Callithrix jacchus: one gene and its partners. The protein of the gene in region 3 interacts with the protein of the main gene of each other region in a pairwise test. Links are inferred from orthologs where the notes say so. Each region holds a gene or a part of one and is shown on either strand. Other genes may lie near its edges.

Region 1 (5,123 bases), on a different chromosome or scaffold from region 3:
GATCCGCCTGCCTTGGCCTCCCAAAGTGTTGGGATTTGACTCCACATCTTGATTGCATATTTCCCTTGTTTCTCTCTTCTGTCTCCAGCCCTTGTTCTCGTCTACTTCCCCACTTCAATTTCCCTCTTATTTTCTCTTTCCTAGCTTCTCCTCTTCCAGCTTCCTTACAACTATTCCTGTGAGTAATGCCCCTAGCATTGCCTCTTAGCCTAAGACATTCTTGAAACCATGCAGTTGCAGGCCCTGTTCGCAGATTGCCACATTGTACTGTTCTCCTCGGCATTTGCAGATGCTGTCGATGCAGTTTCTGGACATCTAAGCCTTGTTGATTTTCTTCTCCACCAGTGACTTGTATTAAGAACAATTAGGATCATCACTATCATGCTCTCACCATGTGCCAATCACTGTTCTAAGCACTTAATATGTATGAGCCTACATAATCCTGACGAAGGAGATACAAGTTTTGAGATGAGGAAACTTGGGAGATAAAATAACTTGCCCACAACTACAGAGTGGCAGAGCCAGAATTCAAATGCAGGCAGCCTTGCCCCAGATCCCACACTCCGAGCAGATGGGACCCCCAAGTTAGTTGCTCATAATCCTGATTAAGGTGTCCTGGCATGCCATGAGTCACACATCACACAGGCTGTTCTCTGCTGCGATAAGAAATTGAAATTTGGACCCACTGTCCGCCTCAATGACATTTGGAATTGATAACTCTTTTTATTTTCTACTTAAATGATAGTATCTCAGTAGGAAGCTCACAGCTTTAAATCCCATCAAGATTTTAACTCATCACCATTCAGAAGAGATCATACTTCCATGATTGTGTGTGTGTATGTATGTGTGTTGTCAGGAATATAAATTGAAGACTTAAAAGCAGATGCCCACAATAATTCTGCAACCCAGGAGCTCTTGGTGGCCTTGATAAGGGTCTTCATTGGCTTATCCTGTATGTGACCTTCTGCAGCCTCCAGTGTTAGACATTCTGGGGCATTTTCTACCTTTAAAAAGCAGCTGATTCTCATTCTGGTGTTTAATCAGAGATAGACCATTGGCCTCTTTCCACTCCTCATGAGAGAGCTCCATTTTTATGCTCACATTTTTCATCTTTTGTGATACTTAGGGTTGATGTTTTAGGGGCAAGACCTTCTGCATTGGATTAAAACCTTTCACAGGAGCTTGGTGAATTCTTGAGTGCCCAGGTTCCCTGGGGGCCTCCAACCCTCTGGATTTCAGAATGATAAGAGTGGACACAAGTCTGAAACGCTGTTTCCGGGCTGTAGTGAGCACTCACATCATGGATTTTTTTTTTTTCCATTTTCTAAGACCCCAACAATGTAAGGTTTTTTATAAACATTATTTTCTTTGATTTTCCCAACAGTCTGTACCACTGGAATTATGCCCCTCTTCATTTTTCTAGATGAAGAAACAGAGGCTCAGAGACTCAGCTTCCCTGTGCTCAGGGTTACCTGGTGAGACACCTGCTGAGCCACGGGGATCATGCCTGTTTGTTTTATTTATGTGCTCCCCGAGATGAATGAGGTCAGATACTTTCTTAGGAGAAGACATACTTGGAAGGCACCAGTGGGGTGTGATAGACATATGTTCAGCTTCTCTGTGGCTAGCAGACCTGAGCCAGTCCCCTCCCCTTCTCTGACTATTTGAATTTAGTCCCATCTGTTACCCACCTCTGTAAGGTTGCCAGGTAAGGAAGACATAAGGCTGTTGGCTGGCAGGAGACAGCACACAGTAGGTCCACAGACTAGTAAAGGCAGTGCCTATTTCTGACTTCTGATCCTAGGGCTGTACCTCCCACATGTTTGTCCAAAGACCCAACATCTTTAGGGTTCTCCCCTGCCCCGCCCCCTTCCCATCTAGCCCTGCCCACTGCCAACTCCAGTGCTTGCTTCTAAATTCCTCTCTAATTCTTAGTTTAACAATCAAACTATGCTGATAAACTATGCTATTTGCCTAGATCCATGGTTCTGGACTTTTATGGACATCAGAATCACCTGGAGGCTTGGTAAATATAGCTCATTGGACTCCACCCCAGAGTTCTGATTCAGAAGGTGATGCCAGTTCCGCTGGACCAGTTCCAGGGACCACACTGTGGGAACCACTGGACTGGGGAGCCTGGTCCCAGTTATACGCGTGCTGATGGTGTCTGACCAGTTAGGGATCTGATAATTCTGCCTTACTGGGGAAGATGCCATTGGAAGATAACGAGGAAGGCATTTGGGGTAGGAGGCTGAAGGCTTTGTCTATTCATCATAGCAGTGGATAAATTACCTTTTACATTGATGTGCAGTGGCTTTAGACAGCTTCTCACTGTTGTGAGCCTCTGCCAGCCATTGAATCTCAGACCTGCCTTCCTCTGGGTGAAATGGCCTTTCTTTCTAATTATTTTTGATTCCCATATCAGGTTTTTCAAACTAGGATTGCATTGAAAGCACCTGGAGGTCTTGTTAAAGTGAGGATTCAGAGTTATTAAGTCCAAGGATAGGGCTCACGGTTCTGCGTGTCTAATGAGCTCCCACGTGATGTAGATGCTGCGGGTCCATGGACCAGCACCTCGTAGCAATTCTGAATTATAGCTGTGTATAGCTTGCCCCTGCTGCCCAATAGAATCACCCAAGGAGCTTTTAAAAACAAATACTTGGCCAGGCTGGGTGGCTCACGACTGTAATCCCAGCACTTTGGGAGGCCAAGGCGGGTGGATCACAAGGTCAGGAGTTCAAGACCACCCTGACCAACATGGTAAAACCCTGTCTCTACTGAAAATACAAAAATTAGCCCGGTATGGTGGCCTGTAATCCCAGCTACTCGGGAAGCTGAGGCAGGAGAATCACTTGAACCCAAGAGGCGGAGGTTACAATGAGCCAAGATCATACCACTGTGCTCCAGCCTGGGCGACAGAGCGAGACTTTGTCTCAAAAACAAACAAATAAAAACCAATATTTGAGCCACATTCCCTGGAAATTATAGTTTAATTGTGGGGTTTAGAATTTTTAACACCCCCATTCCCCAACCCCCATGTGATTTCAATGTACAGCCAGGGTTGGAAACCATTGGTCGTTACCCACAAAATGGGGTAACACCTTCCCAGAGCTCAGCTCCATGTGAGCGCCAGAGACTAGGTCGGACTGGCTGCTTCCGTGTAGGGAGGGTGCACCATACTCCTGGGAAGCTGCACAGGTCACCTGGGAATCTTGTTAAATTGTGGATTCTTCTTGGTCAGGTTTGGGGTGGGACCTGGGTTTCTGCATTTCTAATAGATAATCTGAGTGTTGCTGATGCTGCCAGTCGAGGCTGGTGCTGAGTCTCCAGACGCGCCCACAAGGGCCCACATGATGCCCGTTATCTCTGCCAGTGATGGCAGCGGGTACCTTTTCTCAAGCCGAGCATTAGAGGCTTTTGTTTCCACCTTTTCTCTCCCTAAACGCCATCCTGACGTCTCTTTTATTCAGCTTGGTATTGACACAGGACACTGGGCAATATAGGTTTGTTCTCTTTTTGTAATCTTTTCTTCCTTCTCTCTTCACAGTACGAGACGCAAAAAATCTAATCCCTATGGACCCAAACGGGCTTTCAGATCCTTATGTGAAGCTGAAACTCATTCCTGATCCCAAGAACGAAAGCAAACAAAAAACCAAAACCATCCGCTCCACGCTAAATCCCCAGTGGAATGAGTCCTTTACCTTGTAAGTGGTCCCTCTCCTTGATAAAATTTCGTTCCCATACGCCATGCAGTTGCCCACCTCATTATTTGAGATGATGAAGTAGGCTGCTTATAAATGTCTTTAAACATGTCTTCAGTCCTAAGATCTCCTCAGGCTGCCATTAGGGAGGTAGCTATTAGTACCTGTTGGATAGATGGTAATTATGATACCAAGAGTTGCATAATTCAGGCCTCAAATTATTATTATCTAATCTGGATAAATGTATCAGGTATGTCCACCTCTTGATGGATTTAGGTTCTTTTGAGAGTTAGGGGAGGGCATAAGGCGAGAATTTAAATAATTTTTAGATCACAGAATGAGTGAGCGACATAGAAAGTGTTATTGCCACTGAAACGGGAAGATCATTCTTGCCTTCAAAGAGAGAATTCCTGGAAAATGTGACATTTAAAGTCAGCCTGGGAGGGCTGCCCGGGTTTCAGAGGTAGAGACGGTAGAAGGGGAAGAAGGAAATAAATAAGTCAGGAGGACTGAGGGCAGCTGAGCAAAAGCAAGAGGTCCTCTTTGTAGACTAGTAACAGGAGGCAGTTTTTCTGTGGACAGCCAGAAAGGTAGCTCTCTATTCTAGAGGGACCAGCAAGTTCTGCTCTGTGAAGGACCAGAGAGTATATATTTGAGGCTTTGTGAGTCATACGGTCTCTGTTGCACCTCTGTAACTCTAACTTTCTAGTGCCAAAGCAGCCATAGACAATATGGAAACAAATAGCCATGGCTGCATTCTAATAAATCTTTATTTATAGAAATAGACTGGGCCAGATTTGGCCCATGGGTCATAGTTTATTAACTCCTCCTGTAGAGCTTTGGTTGCCAGCATAAGGTTTGGTATTTTACTGGACCAGTAAGAGAATTAAATATACTAATTCTCTATCTCAGTCTCAAGTCACGTACATGTGTTATCTCCCAATAAAACCACAAGCAAGATAACCTGGTGTTTGCGTGTGTGTGTGTGTGTCTTGCAGCAAATTGAAACCTTCAGACAAAGACCGGCGACTGTCTGTAGAAATCTGGGACTGGGATCGAACAACAAGGAATGACTTCATGGGATCCCTTTCCTTTGGAGTTTCGGAGCTAATGAAGATGCCAGCCAGTGGCTGGTATGGAAGCCATTTAGGTTGAATATGTCTCAAAGCATCAGACCATTTAGACAGTTAGGCTTAAGTCCCTAAAATGTCAGTTGAGACAGGACATGGTGCCTTACACCTATAACGCCAGCACTTCAGGAGGCTGAGGCAGGTGGATTGCTGAGTCCAAAAGTTTGAGACCAGCCTGGGCAACATGGAAAAACCCCATCTCTACAAAAAATACAAAAATTGGCCGGGTGTGGTGGTATGCACCTGTAGTCTCAGCTACTCAGGAGGCTGAGGTGTGAGGATCACTTGAGCC
Region 2 (5,123 bases), on a different chromosome or scaffold from region 3:
TTCTTCCTTCGTCCAGGAATAAACTTCTTGATTGAGACCCAGGATTCTTCTTTCCCGGGTTCAGCATCTGGAGTGGAATGTTCTACACCAGACCCAGCTACGGAGTCTTCGTTTTTCTCTTCCAGCTTGGACTTGGATTTTTTTCTTGGCGTGACTAACCTTTTAAATGACTCCCAGGTGGAAACACCCTCCCCTTCAGTAGGGCTTCCAGCTTGCTCAGGGGATGAACAGCCCTGCCCGGGCTCATGTTCTTGGGAATCCGCAAGGGTCCTGTCTGTCCCCGTCTCTTTGTCTCTTCCGGGCTCATCTGTTTTCTGGTGGTCTCCTCCCATTGTTTTTGGCCCCCCTTCCTCATCAGAGGAGGACCCTTTCCTTGCTCTTTTCTTGGATGATCCCACACAAATTAAAGCTTCCCAAGATACTGAGGTATCCACCTTGCGCTTCGGTTCTTCTGGCTTTTGCTCTTCCACGCTCCCTTTCATTTCTTCTTGCATTTCAGAGGCTGCGCTCTCGGTGGAAGACAAGGTAGCGCTCTTGACCTTGTCCAGCTCATCTTCTTTGTCACTTTCCGAAGGCCGTCTAACGCGCTTCTTGGGTGTCACCATCTTTTTGAATGATGCCCAGGGAGTGACACCTTCTCTTTTTTTCTCTCCATCGGAAGTAGCTCCTTCTTCAGCTTCCCCGTCCTGGTGCACCTCGGCTAAGCCCTTCTCCAGACACGTGATCTCCTCGGGCTCCTCGGGGGACGAGGCCGAGCTGTCCCCCTTCTGCTCCTCGTGGCTGTCCGGAGAATCGGCGGGAACCTGAGTGTGCTCCCCTGAGTCCTCATCTCCGCCTCCTCTTTTCCCTTTCTGTTTCTTTCCAGAAAGCTTTTTTAAGCCAGTGCTGGTAAAAAGCTTCTTGAGTGGACTTCCCTGCACCTTCATTCTCTCCTGTGATGACAGCAGCTCCACCTCACTCACAAAGCCTTCGGGGGGCTTGGACAGTGCCTTCTCATCAGGACTGAGGTCAGCTCCCTGCACAGGGTCCACTCCGGAAACACACGTGTCTTTGAGTTTCACCAGCTCCTTGGCAGGTTCGGCTTCCTGAGGTTCTGCATTCATTTCAACCAATTCTTCAGCAGGTACCGACCCTGCCGTTTCTTCCACCTCTGCTTCCTGCTCCTCGGTTCTCTCCTCTGCGGTGCTGATGTGGACATCGGCCACAACCTCTTCCTGGTGGCCTTCTATTTTCTCATCAAACACTTCTGTCGCCAGCGGAGCGGGTTTCTCTTCAGAAGGTCCCTGCGAGCCACTGACCTCCTCCTCCGAGGGCAGCTCAACTTTCTCATATTCAGCTGATAACCGGGGCTCGGGGGTGCTATCCGCCATCTCCTGTGGCTGAGCCTGCTCGGAGGAGGCCTCTGCCTTTCCGTTTTCTTCTGCGTCTTTTTCTGGCTCTTGTTCCTTTTTCTTCTCTGAAGCTTCCAGTTCATCCTCCTTCGGCTTCCTGAAACTGGTCTTTTTTCGCCAGCCGGCCCAACCTTGAGTGAAGAATTTTTTGAAGGTTGATGCTGTTTCAGTCGTCACGGGACTCGCTGGGGACTCTGCAGACTTGCTGGGTTCTTTTTCTTGTTTCTCTTCTCCTTCCTCTTTGCATTCCTCCACGGCTTGGCCAGCTTCGGCTGGAGGAGAAATTTCAGCGTGGCTTTGCTCGTGCTTCAGGTTCTCTTCGGGTTTCTCTGTGGATTGTTTGAGTTCGCTTTCTTTGGAGGCTGCTTCTCCAGCCCCCGCGCTGGGGTCCTGGTGATCGCCATCCCCTGCTGCTCCTTCCCCTTCATCTTTTTTCACAGTGAGTAGCTGGACAGTGTCAGGCTTCTCTGTCTTATCCTTTTTCACAGTGAATTTAAAGCCGACAAACTTAAACACCTTCTTAAATCCAACATCATTAGCCTGGGACTCTGTAGATTGTGTTAGCTCTTCCAAATTGCTTTCTGAAGAAGGAATCTGGTCGAGGATTTCGGGGCTCTCCTCCTGCCCGTCGTCTCTGACGTCTTGATCAACTGTTGACTTAGCAGCCATCTCCTTATCAGAGTCTCCTTTGCTCACATCTTCAGAGTCTCTCTGCCCAACTATTAACAAAAAGCGGGGTGGGGAGAAGAGAAAAGATGATTACAATTCAAGAAAATCGTTTTTCTGAGACAGGGCGCGACTCTGTTGCCCAGGCTGGAGGGCAATGGTGTGGTCTCCATTCACTGCAGCTTCAACCTCCCAGGCTCAAGCAGTCCTCCCACCTCAGCCTCCCGGGTAGCTGGGACTACAGGCACATCCCACAATGTCCAGCTAACTTTTTATTTTCTGTAGAGATGAGATCTCACTATGTGGGTCCAGGCTGGTCTCCAGCTGCTGGGGTCCAGCAATCCTCCTGCCTTAGTTTCTTAAAGTGGTGGGATTATAGGTGTGAACCACTGTGCCCAGCCCACGAAAATTAAATATCTTAAAAACACGACCAATTAATATTTTCTTTAATGACAGGCAACTCGAGGACAAAGTGAGATCTCATGGAGATGTGTAAATCTTTTTTTAATATTGAGATGGAGTTTCGCTCTTACCACCCAGGCTGGAGTGCAGTGGTGTGATCTCAGCTCACCGCAACCTCCGCCTCCTGGGTTCAAGTGATTCTCCTGCCTCAGCCTCCCAAGTAGCTGGGACTACAGGCATATGCCACCAGGCCTGGCTAGAGATTTGTAAATCTTAATAGATTAATGTCTACTTCCTTCCAACGACCTTTAAAAATTCAGGTTCAAAGAGAATCATCTGCTCTTACTGTAGCCTGTTAAAGGGAAAGTCGACAAACTTAACTATCAAAAAATTAGTTTCACGTAAGTAGTCACGGCACCCCTAAGAGTGAGTCAACCAGACAGTGTATCTTCCGTTGCAATGTAAGATGGAATCCCACATCACACCCATATATTTTTTTTTTTTGAGATGGAGTTTCGCTCTTGTTACCCAGGCTGGAGTGCGATGGCATGATCTCGGCTCACCGCAACCTCCGCCTCCTGGGTTCAGGCAATTCTCCTGCCTCAGCCTCCTGAGTAGCTGGGACTACAGGCACACACCACCGTGCCCAGCTAACTTTTTGTATTTTTAGTAGAGACGGGGTTTCACCATGTTGACCAGGATGGTCTCAATCTCTTGACCTCGTGATCCACCTGCCTCGGCCTCCCAAAGTGCTGGGGTTACAGGCGTGAGCCACTGTGCCCGGCCCACATCCATATTTTAAACAAGAATCCATCAAGTTTTAGATACAACTTCCCACTTAATAGGAAATATAGAGTTTGAGAAACAAGCTAAAGAACAAACAAGTATCCACACAAATCCAAAAGAGGGGACATTCTATGTGGTAACTAAGTCTCAACAGGTCCCCATAAGGGACCAGAGCTCTTTGGAGAAATTCCAGGCTGGGTCATAGGGTGTATGAAAAATATTTTCTTGTGACTGAAAGAAGATGCTCAAAAGCTGACAGAGGTATGTCAAAAGGACACAAGAGCTGGCTTGAAGGGGCTCCCAATGCCCAAACTTTGAAGCATAAAAAAGAATAATGGATCCTTGATAGTTCACGATAGTGACGATTGGGTGTTCACGAGCATGTGTGAGACTGTGCCACCCTCAAACCTTGTTACGACGATTGTGCACATCACTCACCTGACATGAAAATGAAAGAGAATAATGACATTGATGAGTTACAGCACATTGAATAAAAAAAGAATCCATGAATCGAGAGTGATACGAAAAAATGTAAATAGGGAGCAGGGAGCACTTTCTTAAGGAAAAAAGGTCAATAAATATAGATATAACTTCCACTTTGATCCTCAAAGTCATTATCTTAAAATTTTAGATTTAGAAAATCACAATTTGCAAGCACCATTTTAATAATTCATTTATTCAGACTGGTGCTAAGTGCTGGGATTACAGGGCGCAGTGGCTCACACCTGTAATCCCAGCACTTTGGGAGGCCGAGGCAGGCAGATTATGAGGTCAAGAGATCGAGACCATCCTAGCTAACATGGTGAAACCTTGTCTCTACTAAAAATACAAAAAAATAGCCTGGCATGGTGACATGCTCCTGTAGTGCCAGCTACTCGGGAGGCTGAGGCGGAAGAATTGCTTGAACCCAGGAGGTGGAGGTTGCAGTGAGCCGAGATAGCGACAGAACAAGACTCCATCTCAAAAAAAAAAAAAAACACAAAAAAACTCATTTAGTCAAGGATCACAGACTGCTAAAGCCATCGGGTAAAAGGCTGTCAGGAAACATACATTCAGCGTACCGACACACACATTACTTAATTTCACAAGAATGACCTTGACAATGGAGAAATCTGGCAGGCACCACCTTAACCAAGTGATCAAATTTAACATCCTCAATAATGGGACAGATTGCATTTCGATTCCCGGTGTGAGGCACTCAGAAGGACAAGAATTCATCTACGTCCTGACCAAAATATTTAACAGCATCTCATCTCATCATGAGGACACAAACAGACAAATCCACAATGAAGGACGTTCTGCAAAATGACTAGCCTGGCCTGAAATAACAATGTCACGGAAAAATGAAAATCAAGCAGAAACACAAAAAGGATTGTCTGCAAGTAACTTTCAAATAGCTTGGTGGGGGTGGTGGGCGGATGATGTAGCTCTCCATAAATGGTGAATTAGGTCAAGTGCACAGAAGTGTTTACTATGTTTTTCCAGGTTTGTAATTTTAAAATCATTGAGGGGAAAAGTCAAGTCAATGTGATTTAATGGGGGGAGGTGGAGGAGAAAGTACTGTGTTAATTAAGAGATTTAAGGAACACAACAACCAGAGGTGCCCAGCATGATCCTGAATTGGATCGGCCAAAGGACATTTTTGGGTCTTCCCGGGAAAAACTGAATATGAGATTTGGGATTGGATGAGATGAATTTTAACTGAAATAAAAGGGTAGAGATTTGACTGCAGAAAGCAGGTTACCAAACAGTATATACAATGACCTCATTCTGGCTTAAAAACAACTGTCTCTTTTCTTTCTCTCTCCCTCTCTCTCCCTCTCTCTCTCTCATAACCCCCGCCCCAACCCATACACACACCCTTCACGTATGTGATCT
Region 3 (5,223 bases):
CTCAACCCCCTTCACCCTTTAACCCAGAAAATCTAGAGTATTCTATGCACTCAGTAAATATTCACTGAATTAGGAAACAACAGATCAGAAGCCTGAAGGGTCAAAGTGACTTGTCCACCCTCACCCTGGGCTGGAGTGAGAAGAAAGGTCCCCAGTTGACAGGCCCGGCTTTGCTTTCTAGATCTGATCTCCTTCAAAGAGAGAGGGTGGTAGATCTCACTTTGGATACCATTAATATCCCCACTTTGGATATGATTAACATTCACACTTTGCATTCTCTTTAAGACAGCTAGCTCGGACCTACTGAATGGGAATGTCTCCAGAAGTGGCTGGGCAGGCTTATTTCCACAAAGCTCCCTCAGTAGGGAATTCTGACTTCCTGTGGAGTACTTCCCAGGGTCCCTTCGGGGGAGCACCTTTACCACTTCATCCTGTAAGAGTCAGGGGTTTGTTCAGCATCCCTCAAGCAGGTTCCACTCCATGCTCACTGACCTGGGGACTGAGCAGCCTCCATGGAAAGTGACCAGACAGAGGGCCGAAGAACTCAGCAGGAAAGCAGATTGCTGGCAGCCCATGGTTGTTCAAGCTTCAGACAGGGGCCCATCTTCATGAGCCGGCTTTCTGGGCTCTTTCCCATTGCTAGCTCTGACATTAAACACTCGCACACACCTGACCTGGATCGCCTGAAACCAGAACTCTGACGAGGCAGTGGCGTTTGGAAGTTGAGAGAGGCATCTGGAGTCGGAAGGCCTGCATGTGAATTTCACGCTGCTGCCTAGCAGCCTCGAGAAAGTCACTTTAATCCTTTGTACCTCAGTTTCCCCCATAGGAGGGGAGCGCATGCCTCTTATGCTTAATGTGAGGACTGAAAGGATGCATGAAACAGTGTGTGGCAGTCTTTTGCTCTAAGAGCAGCAAGCCCAGAAGTTAGCATGTCCCGGAACCAAAGTGCACCTTGAACAAAACCGACTGAACTTGATAGACACAGGCCTTCAACAAACTTCTGCTGAAAGAGCTCATCTCCTATTTTAATAATTGCCCCTGAACATTCAGTCTTTTATGTCACCGTAATGGAATAGCGTCTGTTCACCTACTCTCTGTCGTCTTCAGGAGCATTCTGTTTTGGGTGAATATGGGACCAACAGGCAAATTAAGTGGTATTTATATTTTTCTTAGGAACAAATCTCCAGCCACTAATACAGGTGTTCAAGCTAGTAACATCAAAGAACAAGAACACCGCTGGAGGGAGGAAAGTGATGCTTTGGAGGTGCTCTGCATGTTTAATTTAAAATAAAGAGAAGAGTCTCTGCTCTTCCGCAGAGACAGGGCTGGCACCTGACTCACAGGGTCGCGTAGGCTCAGCAGAGGAGGAATCTTTCCAAGAGTTCCTTCAGTGAGAAGAGAAATCCTTTATTATTGGAATCACACCCTACCTTTCCCCTCTTTCCTATATTTGGCAAGATTGTTAAAACTCCAGATGTCCTCAAAGAGCTCTTTGCATTGGCAAGTAATCTCTCCGGAGACTTTAACAATCCTTCTTCCGTGCAGTGATCCCCAAACCTGGCTGCCCAACAGATCACATGAAAAGCATTTTTAAAAATACCATATCCAGGTCTTGCCCCATGTCAATTAAATCAGAATGTCTGGGGGTGGGAGCCAGACACTGGTTTCTGTTTTGGTTTTAAAAAATCCCAGGTAATTCTAAACTGCAGCAAGGTCTGGGAACCACTGTTCTATGCCTTGTCCCTCCCCCAACAACGGCGCTGGGCACCAAACCCCAACGCCTCATGCCAGTGACATCAACAGCAAGTACGGGCCTGGCTCCTGGAACCCGCGCAGCTCAAGGCTGGAATTGTGCAATTAAACCTGAGGCATGTTTCCCATGTCAGATGGGTTTATGAGGGTAGTCACGAAGCCAGACTCGCTCATGTTCTGTCTGGAGACTTGGCACACGTGAACCAGGGACATCAATCTGGTGTGTGTGTGTGTGTGTGTGTGTATGACAGGTTTAATATTTTGGTTGGCCCAATGTCAAATTCTTCAAACGGCAAAGAGAAACATCCAAGAAAGAAACTCCCCGGGTTTTGAGAAGGAAAGTTTGCTGTGAGCCCCGTTTTGAAACACCGTGGTGTGGCCAGGACCGGCTCTGCTCCTTGAGCTTCCGCGCAAGAGTCCCGCGGTCCCCCTCTGGAGTGGCCGGACAGCCGCGTCCCGTTCCACCGCGAAGCCCAGGCTCGACCGAAGGGTTGCAGGCGTGGAAAACCCGCGACATGGCCACCGAACCAGAGCCCGGGGCTTTCGGGGGGGGGCGCCCCGGAGGGAGGTCGGGTCCTCAGCGGGACACACCTGGACCGGCCGAACTAGAGCGCGCCGGGCGGGGCGAGCCGCCGGCCGGGGTCTGCGCCCAAGGGGCGGGTCGGACCCCACCTGCCTTTTGCCAAGGAGGAAACTAACCGCCGCCAGCACCACCCCTTCCCGGGAGCCGCAGGTGGTGGCAGACGAGTTCTCCCAGCTCCCAGGTGAAGGCTGCTACTCCACACCCGGGAACGAGGCTCGCGGGGACCCGGAGAGGCGCCGGGGCCAGGCTGACCCACGCCGGCTTCAGCGTGAGACTCGCGCGGAGGGCGGAGGCGGGAGGTCAGCTCAGGAAGCCGCCTGTCCCGCGGGGTCCGAGGGGAGGCTGCATTCTCGGGGTCCTTCCTCAGCTTCCCTAAACCGCGCGGCCCTGCGGGTGGGCAGCGCTGGCCCCTCGGGTGCGCGTTCCGACCCCGCCGTGCCCTGGGAGGACAACGCGGGGCGCCATGCGGGACCCCGGCTCCCGGCGCCCACCGGGCCGCGGACGCCGATCCCGCGCAGAGAGGCGGGAAAGTAAGGGAGAAAAGTTGGGAGCGGTCGGGACCGCAGGAGGTGCCAGCTGCCGTTCTCCGCCCCGCCCGCAGCCCGGTGCCCTCCCCGTCTCCTCCTCCGCCCGCCGCGGACTCTCCCGGCCAGGGACGAAACGTCCCGTTCCTCCCGCGGTCCCGGCCGGCAGCGCAGCTGATCTCAAGGAAACAGGAACGGACGGGCGGGGGCGCGGGCACCGAGCCGGTGCGCCGGTGCGCGGCTGGGCTAGCTGCGGGGTCCGGGGCGCGCTCCGGGGGCGGCTCGGGAGCCGGCGAGACACGCCCTTACCTTTCTTTTCCTCCAGAGCCAGACTCGCTGGGCAGAGCGCAGCCAGCAGAGCCAGGAGCGCGGCCCCTGCCGTCCCTGAGGGTCGCATCGCTGCTCCCCGAAGAGCTCGCTCCGACGCTCCTGGATCAGTCCTGGACGGAGTCAGGCGGCCGTGCGCGGTGGCTGTGGCGGCGGCGAGGCGGGGACTCGGGCGGACGCCGCCGAGGTGGGTTGTCGTCCCGGCTGGGCGGCGGCGGCCCCCGGGACTCGCTCGGGACTCCAGCCGCCTTGGTCGCGGAGGGCTCTCACACCGTGCGGGGGGCGGAGGCTGCTGCGGCCGCGCGGCGCGGGGGCTGCCCGGACGTCTAGCTCGCGCGGGCCGGGACGTGGGGAAGGCTGGGCGGGAGGAGGAGGGACCAGGCGGCGGAGGAGGGATCGGGAGGAGCGGAGGAGGAGGAGAATGCGAGGAGGAGGGACGAGAACCAGCAGCAGGGACCCAAAGCCAGCGGCCGCCGGAGGCGGTGGACAGCGGTGACCCCCGCGGGACCCGGGCTCCGGCAGGAAAGGGGCGGCGCGTGGGAGGGGAGCGGGTGCCCTGAGGAGTTAATTTCCGAGAGGGGCGTTCCCAGCACTGCTCCTCTGGACTCAGTCTCCATGGACTTGCAGGCCCAGCTTATGCTGAGATGGAGCCAAATCTGTGCCAGGGTCCCCTTCCCCCTTTCCCTTCTTTTGTTTTACAAAGCAAACTTGTACCAGCTTTGGACAGATTGGCCAAGCCCTAGAGCCAGCGTCGGATAATGGCACCGACGGGGAAACTGCTCTTTTATTCTGGTCCCCACCTCCCCTGCAGCACCCTGGGACCCTCCCAGGGCTCAGAGGCTGGCCTGGCAGCTGAGGCGGTTGCCGTGCCTGTGCAGCAGGAGTGCCAGGCGTCCGAGGTGCTGATCCAAAGTCCGAGGGTCCTTCAGATCCCGTCAAGCACCCTCGAAATTGAATGAAATGAGGGTACCCAACTCCGAGCTCAGATACAGGCCTCCTCAATGTTTATTGTAACCGACCCTGGGTAATTTGAGCCAATGTGTGAGGCACAGTACTTCGCAAAAGGGAAGCTCTTGGAATAAACGCTTGACACAAACAGCCGTGGAGATACTTTTAGAGAGGCTAAGTGTCCCACTGCCCTGGTAGCTCCCACAGGAGAAATGCCAGGGAAATTCGCAGAGGCTTTGGCCGGAAGAAACTGAGCTGCTTTGGGCTGCAGGAACTTGAGCTACATTCCTTCTGCAAGTGCACCCTATCCCCACTGTTCCTTCTCCTACAGGAAAAATGCCCTCTAGGTCCATGTTACAGACCCCTCCTCTCCACAAGGTTCACTAGGACTTTCCGGCCTGATTCAACAACCTTGATCTCCCGGCTCTGTCAAGAACCACACTCCTGAAGTAAGTGGAGCCCTTTGCTGCCCTTTGCTGTCCCTGGAGGGGAGCAACCTTGCTTCTTTCCTTCCCATCCAGCAAATTGTCTGTGCCAGAGTTTCACACCCTGCAGCCTAAACGGTGGGGTTTTCAGCAGGGCAAGCGCAAACTCCTCACCGCCGACTCCTCACTGCCAGCTCCTCACCGCTGCTGCAACCTGGAACTTCCCCTGTGAATCAGGAGAAGTAATTTGTTCCTTTGTTTTAACCAATCAGGACAGCCACTGCAGGTTGAAGTCAGCCCCTGGATGCAGAGGCTGTGACGGCTCTGCAGGCACGTGTGTGCTTCCTCCACATATGCACACCTGGGCTGAGAGCAGTCCATAAAGAAACAAAGAAAAAACAAAACCAGGGAATGGCAAACGGGAAGCACAACAGCGGAACACAAAATGAAGACAGGAGTGAGTTTGACAATAAAAGACATGAGTACAGTGAAGTCGTATGAATTCAGTTAACAAGGACCACTGTGTTTTCTGTCAAGGGAATGTGACTTGTGTGTACAACTCATAACACAAATCAATTTATGTTAAGAAATGTTGAGTGTATAATAAAAATATATTGTTTGCTAAGAAGAACGATGGCAAGGAAAACCTAGCCGACCCCCT

The links. The genes of interacting proteins can lie anywhere in the genome.
Region 1: the proteins of EGFR (region 3) and PRKCA interact in binary tests that used the Homo sapiens proteins (3 or more experiments, as listed by UniProt). The link is inferred for Callithrix jacchus from reciprocal best matches to the Homo sapiens genes EGFR and PRKCA.
Region 2: the proteins of EGFR (region 3) and AKAP12 interact in binary tests that used the Homo sapiens proteins (3 or more experiments, as listed by UniProt). The link is inferred for Callithrix jacchus from reciprocal best matches to the Homo sapiens genes EGFR and AKAP12.

What each region holds. Positions count from the first base shown.
Region 1 is NC_133506.1:122,598,761-122,603,883, reverse strand, and holds part of PRKCA (protein kinase C alpha type), read left to right. Parts: intron 1-3,547; coding exon 3,548-3,704; intron 3,705-4,699; coding exon 4,700-4,834; intron 4,835-5,123. UniProt on the Homo sapiens protein: Calcium-activated, phospholipid- and diacylglycerol (DAG)-dependent serine/threonine-protein kinase that is involved in positive and negative regulation of cell proliferation, apoptosis, differentiation, migration and adhesion, tumorigenesis, cardiac hypertrophy, angiogenesis, platelet function and inflammation, by directly phosphorylating targets such as RAF1, BCL2, CSPG4, TNNT2/CTNT, or activating signaling cascade involving MAPK1/3 (ERK1/2) and RAP1GAP.
Region 2 is NC_133505.1:158,182,630-158,187,752, reverse strand, and holds part of AKAP12 (A-kinase anchor protein 12), read right to left. Parts: intron 3,690-5,123; exon of another isoform or gene 3,584-3,689; intron 2,111-3,583; coding exon 1-2,110. UniProt on the Homo sapiens protein: Anchoring protein that mediates the subcellular compartmentation of protein kinase A (PKA) and protein kinase C (PKC).
Region 3 is NC_133512.1:22,474,763-22,479,985, reverse strand, and holds the start of EGFR (epidermal growth factor receptor), read right to left. Parts: upstream 3,518-5,223; 5' UTR 3,260-3,517; coding exon 3,172-3,259; intron 1-3,171. UniProt on the Homo sapiens protein: Receptor tyrosine kinase binding ligands of the EGF family and activating several signaling cascades to convert extracellular cues into appropriate cellular responses.